Linked DNA regions of Alligator mississippiensis. The protein of the gene in region 1 purifies or fractionates together with the protein of each later gene. This does not show direct contact. Links are inferred from orthologs where the notes say so. Each region holds a gene or a part of one and is shown on either strand. Other genes may lie near its edges.

Region 1 (3,745 bases):
CGTCTCAAATGAGGCCCCTCTCTCTGCCAGGCTGATGTCCATGCCGCATTGTTCCTGAGCTTCCGCCAGCAAGCTGCTCAGCCGCTCCCCCAGGCTCCCCTTACTGGCCCTGGCAGCTTGAATGGCAGCTCTATAGGCGCGGATTTTGGCTTCCTGACTGCACACCTTCTCCTCTACCAGCAGAGAGTAGATCTGTGCCAGGACCCACAGCGCGCTTGCATCCAGCTGGGGCGTCCCTGGGTCCACACAGCCTGCTGGCACCCCTGCAGACCCCAGTCTGGTCCTGCAGACATACAAGGCTCCCGTGTCCTCTCCCAAAGCATCCAGGCAGATCCTAGCCTCTGCCTCCCGCCCCAAAGCCAGCAAGACCATGGCTTGCAGTAACTTACTGCTGCTTGTGCTGGGTCTCATGTGCTTCAGCTTATGTTTCAGGCTAATGAGTCTATTTTCGGGGATCCTAGATAAAAGACTGAAGACGTCCTCAAATGTGGGCTGGGTCTCTGCGCTCTCTGCCATTGCATCAGCTGTTTATTCAGACAACGCGCCGAAGAAGCAGGGGATGGAAAAAGCATACTACTCTCTCTGGGGCCTGGAATAAGCAAAGGCCGGTTTCTTTTCTACATTCTGTGCGGTGCTTGGCAGGCTCTGGGTGCTACACATCCTCAGCGGCTTCTCTCTCTCCCCAGGGGTTTCAGCATTGTGGTGTCATGCTGTTGTCCCTTCCCTCTTCAGAGCTCACCTGCCAGACCTGTGAGAGAACAGAAAGTTACAGAAACGTGACGGGCAGACAGCCTCGTGCTCCAGCCTGGACTCATCTGAGATCACCGTCTGCACCGTGCCTTAGCAAGAACGTCACTCCTCGGTCGTACCCCCATAGTCTACCATTCACTTTGCGATCCTCGTGGTAAGCTCATAGGAAGGCTCTACATGGTTCCCATGTATCCCTGCAGTAAGTGCTTTAAAATAATAATGGCTAAATCGTTAACTGGTTGGGCTGTCAGAGACTAAACCAGCACCCCCCCACCTGGGCTAGCCTGGGTAGGAGGGTGTGTGGACACTCAGCAGGACTAAAAACAAGACCTGTCAAAGGGCAGACAAGCCCAGAGTCATCCAGAGCTGGACAGGAGATGGACACCACCAGGTCACTCTGCCCCAAGAATCACCAGCGATGCAAAGCAATTCAACTAACCTAGGAGGGTTGTTACCGCGTCTAAGGTGCCCCAATGGGCACACAGGCCTCGGGACTAACTTGACTTGAAATCATTAACAGATTTAGGTATGTCACCCAACTGATCAGAGCAACAATCCACCATCTCACCCGGAGTCCTGTCTGTGGCTGCAGCTAACACCAGATGCCTTGGGGAATCCTCGTTAACCAGCAGCTATAAAATCAACTGCCCAGTAGAGAAACTTCTCGGTGGCTCCAAGGTTATATCCACCAAAGGATGTGCACTTATTCCCCTGGCAAACAGACTTGTATCCACTCAAACGCCGTTGCAGACCCTCCTGTTATCCATGGTCACACAGCTAAACCCTGGATCCTATTACACTCTTGGACTCACCCTCGCCTTCTGGCAGCAAGTTAAATTTAGGACCAGACCTCACTAGTAGCCTGGACAGACCTGGCCAAGGAGTGGAAGGTCTGTGGGTCAGGCACTCAGCAGAACCGCTGCTTACCAACGCCTGCTCTTGGTCTACCTGGCTTGCTGCAAAATCTCTCAGCATTTATAAGAGCATCCCAAAACACAGTGTTTCAAAACAGCCCCAACAAGCCAGATCCCTGGGGGAAATTTACAGTTTCACCCTGTTTTTAAGTCGCTCGGGGTTTTTTTTTTCCTAGCTTGCAAAAATCCTCCAGTTGCTTCATGACAGATTGAACGCATCTAAAGTTGCATCCCTTCCCCTGAAAGATTGTGATTCACTGAAACTTCTAAGAAAAAAAATCCCCTTCGCCTTTCAAACAGGGGCAGCAAAACCCAGAGCTTTGCCACTGGTGTTTACTCCTTTCCCTTCGTGACTCAGACGCGTCGCACCAACCGGCCGAGTTTCTTTTTGCTCTGCTCACGCACCTTGTCCCAGAACTAACCGCTGCACGAACGTCAGACACTTCTGGGCTACGAAAGGAGTTAGTCTTTTCTTAAACGCCCCGTTTTAGGCGAGAACAGACAGAGAAATGCAGAGCAGGCCTCGGCTGGGAACCTCCCAAGTCCAGGGTCACTTTAATGAGGTTCTTCTTCCTGCTCCATCGCTTCCTTTGCCTTTGCAGACAGTTCCTGGCAAAGCGGGGGGTGGGGGAGCCGGGAAAGGTGCCCGGGCACAAGGCAGGGGAAAGGCTGCATCTCCTGGGGGCCCTCATTCCCATGCCCTTGCCTGCTGGAAGGCAGCTCAGCTTCTTCAAAAGCCCGGGGGATGCCAGCCCTGGGGGACCTGGCCCCACTGCCCCGCGGAGCCTTCCCTGGGGAGCGGGAGCCCAGACCTCGCTGCTGGGCCCGGCGCGTCGGGCATGGCCCTGCTCCCTGGGCACCGGCAGCCCCACCCCGCTCCCGCTGCCCCCCGGCTCTCCCCCCGCTGCGGGGCAGGGAGAGGGTTACCTGGGCGCCGCCAGCCGAGCCGAGCCGAGCCGAGCCGGGCCTGGCCTCGTGACAGTGTCCCGGGCAGCGAGGCTGCCCTGCCCCGCCCCGCCCCCCAATCCGACCTGGAAGCGCAGCGGGGGGCGGGGTGTCGTGACGCCACAATGGCAGCGGATACATTGGAGTTGCAACTCAACGTTCCAAGCGGGCGGGGCCAGTCCTGCGCGGGGGCGCAGCTGGGGGGCGCTCTGGGCCTGGCAGAGCAGGCGGCGCGGGGCAGCCCCTCGGCCGGGCTGGGCCGGATCCTGGCACGAGCCTCGCAGGCCTGCGGGGGAGGGCCGGGCTGCAGCGGGGGCACTGGAGGCCTCGGCTTCAGCAGGGGGTCGTGGGCTTGGCCCATGCCCAGAGACCCGCAGGGCTGGGGCTCCTTGGGAAGGGCCGCGGGCTGATCCGGGGCGGGAAAAAAAAGCAAAGTCTTGATGCCCATTTCATCTGGTCTTTCCTGCCCAAGTGCCAACGATCTGTCAGGCCCCCTTCCAGCCCCTAAAAGACGATGAAAAGGGGCAAGAACCAGCCGGAGACAAAGCGCGGCGGTGGAGCAGAAGCAGTGGCACGGCCCCTCTGCCAGCGCTGAAAGCCTCCATCCGCCTAAGGGGAGAACTGGCTGCCTTTGTTCGGCTCCAGCTCTCCCAGCCCACAGGGCCTCCCTCCCTCCAGCTTGGCGCGCAGGCAGATGCAGGCCCCACAAACCTGTCTGGATTTGGAAACAAGATTTATTTCAAAGCCAACGGTTCCCATTTTCCAGACACTCGGTCCTAGCCCAGCCACGTGGCTTGTCTCTGGATCCCTGAAACAAGCTACAGCCGCAGCAGGCACTCGGCACTAGGTACCCGCGCATCCCCCAACCCTCCCCTTTGCAACAGGCCTGGCCTCATAACAATGGTCAAGCCGGATCTATCTTAGTAACGCCCATAAAAGCTGCCCTGCGCCATCTTTTCAGTGACTGCTGAGCACTTGGGATGAACTAAATAGGGGCAGAGTAAGTTTTTGCGAATAGAATTTAAATGCACTGAAGCGATGGGGAGTACAAATCCCACAGAAAACTGATCCTTTAAAAAGCGCAGCTTCCAATTTCAATGCAAGAGAAGGGGCTGGTTATTGTGGAAACAGAAATC
Region 2 (3,745 bases), on another chromosome or scaffold:
ATCTCAGGAGGTTATCTACTGCAGTGGTTCTCAATCTTTTTTGTACCAGGACCCATTTGTAAACACTGGCCAGTCCCAACTCAGTACCCCTCACTCCCAATCCACTGCCCCCTGGCTCCATGCCCCAGCCCCCCAGTGTGTGGGGCAGAGGGTGCCCCAAGCAGTCCCTCTCAGGCTGGCAGAAGCAAGGGAAAACCCATGGTTTCCCACATTTTTCTCCTTTTAAAGGAGAATCATTTTTTAAAGTTTGCTTGTGACCCGTCCATATATTCTTCCAACCCACTTTTGGGTTGCAACCTACAGGTTGAGAAATGCTGATCTAGTGAGTACAACCCCCTGCTCAAAGCAGGGCCATCACCAACTATCTCATCTGAGCCAAGGCTTTGTTGAGCCAGGCCTTAAACCCTTGAAGGATGGACTACATGGTCTCCTGAGGTCCCTTCCAACCCTAATTTTCTATGATCTAACTGGTTGCTTTTCATCCAAACCACCTCTGGGTAACCTGTTCCAGTGAGAGAGCTTTTCCTAATATCTCACCTCCATTTCTCTTGCTGCCACTTGATACCATTGCTCCTTATCCTGTCATCTGCCCCACCCCTGAGACAAGTCCAGTTCCATCCTTTTGGGAGCCCCCCCTCAAGGAGTGAAAAGCTGCTGCCAACTCCCCCCCCCTTCTTGGCTAGGGACAAAAGTTGCACATCAGCCAGTTTAAATGATCAGAAACTGGTTTAAACCTGTAACAGAACAGAAGTTCAGTGCACATAAACCAGTTTCAAAATGGCTGAAACTGATCTAAGATAAACCTGATTGAATGTAGTATCAGACTTTAACTGATTGAGGTCAAATTGGTTTACGGAGCTTCTGTCCCAGACCCTTTCCTGGTTTAAGCTAAACCAGAGTCCCCCAGCATGCTCTGCAGCCCTGGGCTGGGCTGTGTTGTCTGCTCCAGAAAGCAGGGTGCCCTGTCACTGCTCTCTAGCTGGAGCAGGGGCAGGGCTGTGGCCAGAGGCCTGCCCAGCATGGAGTGAAGGAGACAGGGAGAGGGTTTATTTCTCCCCTCCCTCCCCTCTCCCACTGGGGGACCCTCTGCCAGCCCTGGCAACTGTCTGCTGGTTGCCCTTGACCAGGCAGACCCTGGAGGGAGGGGGAATGGCAGGTGTAATAAATTCCCTTCCTGCTGCCTTTGCCTCGGGGGGCCACCATGCTCAGCTGGCATCTAGTTAGTGGCCAGGGTCTGGCCATGTTCCCCAGCCCCCCAAAAGCCTGGCAAAGGCTGCTTCCAGCCTCCAGGTACATCCCAGCTCGGGTCCCTGCAGGTCAGCCTGGTGGTTTAAACCCCTCTCCAAACATACTCAGGCCACCCCCTCATCTCGGCACCATGAAAGGGAAGGGAGGGCTTGCTCTAGCCCCCCCACCCCACCAGGCTTCTAGCCTGAGCCACTGCAGGCCTGTGCCTGCATGTCTGGGATCAAAAGTGAACGTCTATCTACTTGCTTGGCGGATCAAGCTCTGCAGGCTAGACTAACCTGCAAAGACTGAATCCATTCAGGCTCGGGCTTCTTGGATGGCTGTCCCCAGCTCCAGACTCAATCAGCCCAGTTCCCTCTGCCTCTCCTCACCCCCGTGCCCCAACCCCAGCCCCCTCCCCCCCTCCTTTGCCCAGGGGGCAGCGGCGGCGGCGGCGGCAGCAGCAGGGCACCCCCCCTCCCCTCAGGCGGCGGGGCCCCGTGGGGTGGCGCCAGGCCCGGGCGGGGAGGTCCTCGCGGCCAGGCAGGGGCAGCGGGGCGCACTTCGCAGCCGGGACCGAGGGGAGGGCGCTGGGCGACGTGGAGGCGCCGCTTTCGCTTTTGCTTGCAGCGATCGGGAAGTCCGCCCCGCCAAGGCCAAGGCCAAGGCGGACCCGCGCGGGCACACGGGGCAGCCTGCTCTCCCGCGCCGCGCGGGCCGGGGGCGTCTTACCCTCGTGTCCCCGCTCCAGCGCCGGGAGAGCCAAGCCCAGCCGAGGCGAGGCCTGCGGTGCCCCCGCCGCCAGTCTCCGCCAGTCGGGCCGCGGGGAGGAGCCGCCCAGGAACAGGGCCGGGCTCGCCCCGCGGGGAAGTCCGGCTGCCGGCAGGCGGGAGGAGGAGGAGGGCTCCGGGCGGCACCCCGGGGGGCCCTGGCACCCCTGCAGGGGTGTCGCGCAGAGGCCGCGCTGCTGGCTTTGCAGCCGCCGTGCACAGATAGACCCAGGGCTTTCAAACGGGAATCTGTAGTGTCAACAGCAATCTCACCCCTTCTGGGCTGCCTTGCAGAAGACTTGTTTATCTGTAGTTAAAAAACACACACGCGTGTGAAAGCTAGGAGCTAGCATTTTTTCCAGGGGCACCTTGAGTCTAAGACAGGTTGAGAGCCACCACCTTGGAGATTAACAGACTCTAAGGTGCTGGCCCCTGTCCTACCTTTTGGCTGAGATCAAGTGTAGCCTGGAGATCTTCAAAAGGAGACTTGGACGCAGACCTTGCTATGGTTATTTGACCCCAGCTGTCTTTCCTGCCCACAGCAGGATGGCTCCTTCCAGCCCTAAACTTCTGTGAATTGGTGCAATACCTGCCTTCAGACTAACAGGGAAGTGGCCTCTCTGAATCCCACGGGGAGGAGTTATCTCCGGAGCATGTTACTCAGCATGTGAGCAGTGATTCTCTGGCAGGAAGTTGTGGCAGCCCTGAGGCCTTGAGGTCCTTCCAAAGGTGCTGCGCAGTGGGAGCACTGTTGGGTTTGCAGCCACCATTTGCAGATAAAACCCAGGCTTTCAAGCAGGAATCTGTAGTATCAAAAGCATTCCCCCCCTTCTGGGCTGAGTTGCTTGCAACAGAAGAATTGGTCTTACTGTTTTTCTGTAGTTATAAAAACCACAAGTAAAAGCTAGAAGCAGGCATTTTCCTGGAGGCGCCTTGAGTCTAAAAAGGTTGAGCATCACTGTTTTGGAGGTTAACAGACCTTTCCTGCCTGTTGGCTGAGATCAAGTGTAATACCTGCCTTCAGACTAACAGGGAAGTGGCCTCTCTGAATCCCACAGGGAGGAGTTATCTCTACAGCATGTTACTGGACATCTAAAACGGGGTAGGCAAATCCTAGCACAGGTGCCAGAGTGTGGCCCACCAAGGCATTTTGCTTGGCATGCACATCTTGGGGCAGGCAGCAAGAAAGGGGCCAGGGCTGCACTGCCACAATGAGGATTGGGCCCCTTGCGGCACACCCCCCCCCCGCCATCTGCCTCTGGCACACCAACATCTTACAAACTGAGTTTGCTGGTGTTCTTGACAGTCCAATAACATTGCTGACTCGGATCTAGAGCCGTGATTTTCAGGCAGGGAGCCGTGGTGCCCTGGGGGAAACCTTGAGATCCTCTCAAGGGTGCCCTGGGCTGTCAGGTAGGCCTGTGTGATCAATTAAATATCTATAACTTTGTTGTTTTGCCTCTGATTTGGGTGAAACTTGCAGGGGTGGTGGCCCCTGCTGAGGCCACAAAGTCTGCCAAGTTTCAAGAAGATAGGTGCAGGGGTTTGGGAGGAACTACACTTCAAGCTGCTGACAGGCAAAACTCATGACATAGATGACCCACTGTGTGTTAAGGTGCAGTGGGCTGAAAACTGCAGGGGTGGTGGCCCTTGCTGAGGCCACAAAGCCTGCCAGCTGTGTGTGTGTCTCGCTGGGGGAGTCTGTCTTCTGGGGCCCTGCACCTCAAGCTGCTGGCAGGCAAAACTTG
Region 3 (3,745 bases), on another chromosome or scaffold:
TTTCTTTTTGTTTGTTTGGGGTTTTTTCTTTAATTAAAGTATTTGTCTCCACAGTGGGAAATGTAAACTGTACAACAGCCAATTTATCTATATTTTTAAAAAGTGAAAAATAATTTAGCAAAGCAATTATTTGATCCTATGACCCCAGCTGACGTCCTGCCCTTTGGGCGGGGGGCTGGACTCGATGATCTTCTGAGGTCCCTTCCAGCCCTAATGTCTATGAAATCTATGAAATTATCTTCAGATGCACACAGAAGCCATGACTGGCCTCCACCCCAGAAACCACCACAATCCGGGGGGTGGGAATAAAAAACCTTGTTTCTTTAAAATAAATTGTCTATTTTTTATTCTGTGCCTATAAATTAAGGGCTAGATTTTGCAAAAAAGCTCTAATGTTCCCATTTAGACTCCCAAAGAAGCTGCTTTTGTCCTTCAATGTGCCCAGAGCCTTGGGTGTTGTCAAGCACTTGTGGAAATCTAGCTGCAAGCATCATCACGGGGACTGCTGGGTACTGAACACTAAGGAAAATCCGTTCCTTGATTAAGTGTTAAATCAGAGACAAGCTCTTTATACAAGCAGTCTCTATTTCTTTGTGCTAACCCAGCCAATGTCTTAGGAATCTGGTCCTAAGTAGAAAGTAGCAAATCAGACCAAATGTAATATAGGGGTTTCCCTTACTAAGGGAAATCACAATGGAGTTGTTGGGGTCCAAATCTAATCTTATGTCAATGGACCTGGCTGAGGGCTGGATCAGGAAATCTACCCCGAAGTAAAATGAAATGCTGCTGTTTGACTTCACTTGAAGGATAAGTATTCTGGTCCCTTGAATTGGAAGTCTCTTACAAACTGCTCCTGCCATAGCCAACTAAGGATGCTTATACTTCCCACTAAGGTTGGCAAGCCAATCAATTGACCACATATTGTTTTACCAAAAATTATAGCAATTGTACAAAAAAACCCTACATTTTTGTAGTTTTCTTGACAGAAATATGATTTTTAATTGGGGTTTTTGTACACTTTTCTTGACGGAAAATTTGTGCCTCTTCTGTGTATTATTTGGACCTATTGGCAATTTTTTTACCAATATCAGTTTTTGACTGACACTTGACCAATCAATTCACTGAACTTTATTTGACCAGTCAAATAGCCAACCCTGCATCCCAACAGGGAACTCCACAATGAGAATTTGTCTTGCATTAGTGCCTACAGGTCTCAGTTGCATTTGAGCACTGTTTGCTGCACCTGTTTCTGCAGTGCCCAGCACAAGTACAGTCATCGCTGTGATGGGGGCTGAAGCTGCACATCTGTGGTTTGTTTTGCTAGATGGGGAGGAACCAGCTTAGCAGCACTCTGGCATGTACTGGGCTGCCCAGGGTGGGTGATGTGAAGGTGAACCATCAGAGCTTAACCTTCAAGGGCTGGCAAGAGCCTCCTCTCTCAAACCTGGGTGTCCCACTACACTCACATAAGCCTTAACCACCTTCAGACTGCTACTGCAGGGGCCCTGCAGACCAGCTAGTGCAGAAAGCAGCTGCCAGACTACTTAATAATACATCTGGAGCAGTCACCCACTGGAAGGCCTTGGATTCCCATTTCCTTCCAAGGTTCTGCATTGGCTAGAAAGGTTTTTTGCATGGGTCATGTTTGAAAAACTGCCTATCTTTATGGTCATGGCTGATAGTCTGGATTGACTGGGTCCCTGAGGGTGATGGCCACTAGACTTGTCTGGCTTGGGATTAAATAACTCATACAGGATGCCCTTAGTGCTGAAATTCAACATACATTCTCGACCTCCTTTAGTTCCAAGGGCAGCTGCCACCTTTTTCAGTACCCAACCACTCATACCCTGCTTTGCTAAGATACCAAAAATGTATGGCTCCAGCTGGAGCCAGGAAGAGCTGTGGGCGCTTTTCACTTTAGGAAATCAGCACACCTGGCCTTTCCAACATGGGTGCCTCTACTCCTGATTGCTTATATTTGGCACAGTAGTGCCTCCCAATTGACTGTGAGCTTCAAGTGTGCTCTCCCATCATGTCCTAGCTAGAACTGCCCTGGACAACGCTGCTGAAGAATGTCACAAAGTGCTAGACGTGAGAATTAACCCTGAAATCCCTAACTCCTGTGGGAGTCTGCAGCTTGGGCCCACCTTCAGAACATGTTCTTCTATTAGCAGAAGCAAATGAAGAGACCTGGCTGGCTCTAGGAACCGGCTGAGCAGAAGGGAACCTCGATGAATGGGACTGGACCAGGTCAGCCATAAAATTCACAGAACTGCCTCTCCCTTTATTTCTCAATATCTTCCTTCCTTTGTTGTAGCAGCCGATTGATGTATTTCTCAATCCTAGGCTAGGCCCTAACTACTGGATGGTTGCTACTCTCATGAAAATCAGAATATCTGAGTTCAAACCTCCTTTTGAAGCTCTGACCTGGGAGGATTCAATCCCTATCTCTGTGCCTCACTTTCCCCAGTGGCAAAACAGCTATAACAATGATTCACTCTTGTGTGAGCAGGCTTCAAAGTTGCATTGAAATCCAGTATGCTACCCTGCCTTGTGCCCATATCCCTGAGATCGTGTCACTTCCCACTATTCTGCCTGAGAAATGGCAACCGATTCTTTATGGTCTTCTAGCAGTAAGTGATTGTGTGACAGATGTTACTTTTTTTACTGTAACCTTGAAAAAGAAATAGGGTAGTAAATTAAAATGCATTCTGTCTGAAATCCACCTTGCCCTCCTCCACACACCAACCCCAGCCTCTTGCCTCCCCCCTTCCAAATAAATAGAAAAAAAAAAAAAAATCAACTGCTTTAAGTATTGCTCCTCACACTTCAGCGCAGCAGGACAAGCAGGAAGCAAATTAAAGTGACTGTAATAACCATCAGAACCTTCCAGTGCTGGGACAGATGGTGGCATCACAGCATCTTTTCTGGTGGAAAAAAAAAAAATCTATATTAAAATAAATGGGAATAAAAGAAGAGAGAGAGAGAAAAAGAAAACCTCAAATCAACAACCTTTAATGCACGCAGACCTTCTGCTAAAAAGGCTCCATACTGAGATGTGGAACGAGAGCTGAAGAAAAGGTTGCCACAGAAATCATCAACTGCTCTTCACAAACAGATTGTCTCCTGGTGGCCGTGGTTGTTCCTGATGACCTCTTATGGAAAAGGCCTACAGAGACCACAAAGTACTTTTCTTTTGGGACCATCCTGCAGAATTTAATACATGTCTTTATGCCTGCAGTAGGTTTCTAGCCAGCCTACAGAACAGACCTCTCTTTGCTTCCTGAATTGCACAGGTCTTGGTAATCATTTGGTTTAATCCCTATTTGATTTTATAGGATTTAGAGATTGTGTAAGTGAGGAGATTGGTTCAGTGATGGAATCTATTAGTTCAATGATGGGCTTAAATAAGGATACACAGACATCTTTTTAGGGAGATCTCTCTCTCTCTCTCTCTCTCTCTCTCTCTCTCTCTCTAATTGGGAATGCCAGGGCAACTACTCCATAGGGAAAGCCATTACAGCCCTTCAGCTAGGTCCTTCTGGTCTCTCTGAGCTTTAGCTGAAAGCCAGAAACATCAGGAACCAGCAAACTAATAGATCAACTTGGTCTTTTCCTAAACTTAGTTGCCAACCAACAGAGCATTTTCATAGGCAACTTGCACTAGAGCATCCCCAAAGCACTTGCTTGGTAGGTAGATGTGTGTTACCAAAAAAAAAAAAAAAAGGAAAAGCTCACCCTGCCC

What was found.
Region 2: the proteins of TICAM1 (region 1) and RIPK1 purify together in Homo sapiens (affinity purification with western blotting; 4 studies listed by BioGRID). This does not show direct contact. The link is inferred for Alligator mississippiensis from reciprocal best matches to the Homo sapiens genes TICAM1 and RIPK1.
Region 3: the proteins of TICAM1 (region 1) and TLR4 purify together in Homo sapiens (affinity purification with western blotting; 3 studies listed by BioGRID). This does not show direct contact. The link is inferred for Alligator mississippiensis from reciprocal best matches to the Homo sapiens genes TICAM1 and TLR4.

Annotation. Positions count from the first base shown.
Region 1 is NC_081839.1:4,935,150-4,938,894, reverse strand, and holds the start of TICAM1 (TIR domain-containing adapter molecule 1), read right to left. Parts: upstream 2,723-3,745; 5' UTR 2,592-2,722; intron 2,540-2,591; exon of another isoform or gene 2,070-2,539; intron 749-2,069; 5' UTR 517-748; coding exon 1-516.
Region 2 is NC_081826.1:121,052,775-121,056,519, reverse strand, and holds the start of RIPK1 (receptor-interacting serine/threonine-protein kinase 1), read right to left. Parts: upstream 2,594-3,745; 5' UTR 2,439-2,593; intron 2,226-2,438; exon of another isoform or gene 1,960-2,225; intron 1,587-1,959; exon of another isoform or gene 1,527-1,586; intron 1-1,526. UniProt on the Homo sapiens protein: Serine-threonine kinase which is a key regulator of TNF-mediated apoptosis, necroptosis and inflammatory pathways.
Region 3 is NC_081835.1:55,042,894-55,046,638, reverse strand, and holds the start of TLR4 (toll-like receptor 4), read right to left. Parts: upstream 2,924-3,745; 5' UTR 2,827-2,923; intron 1-2,826.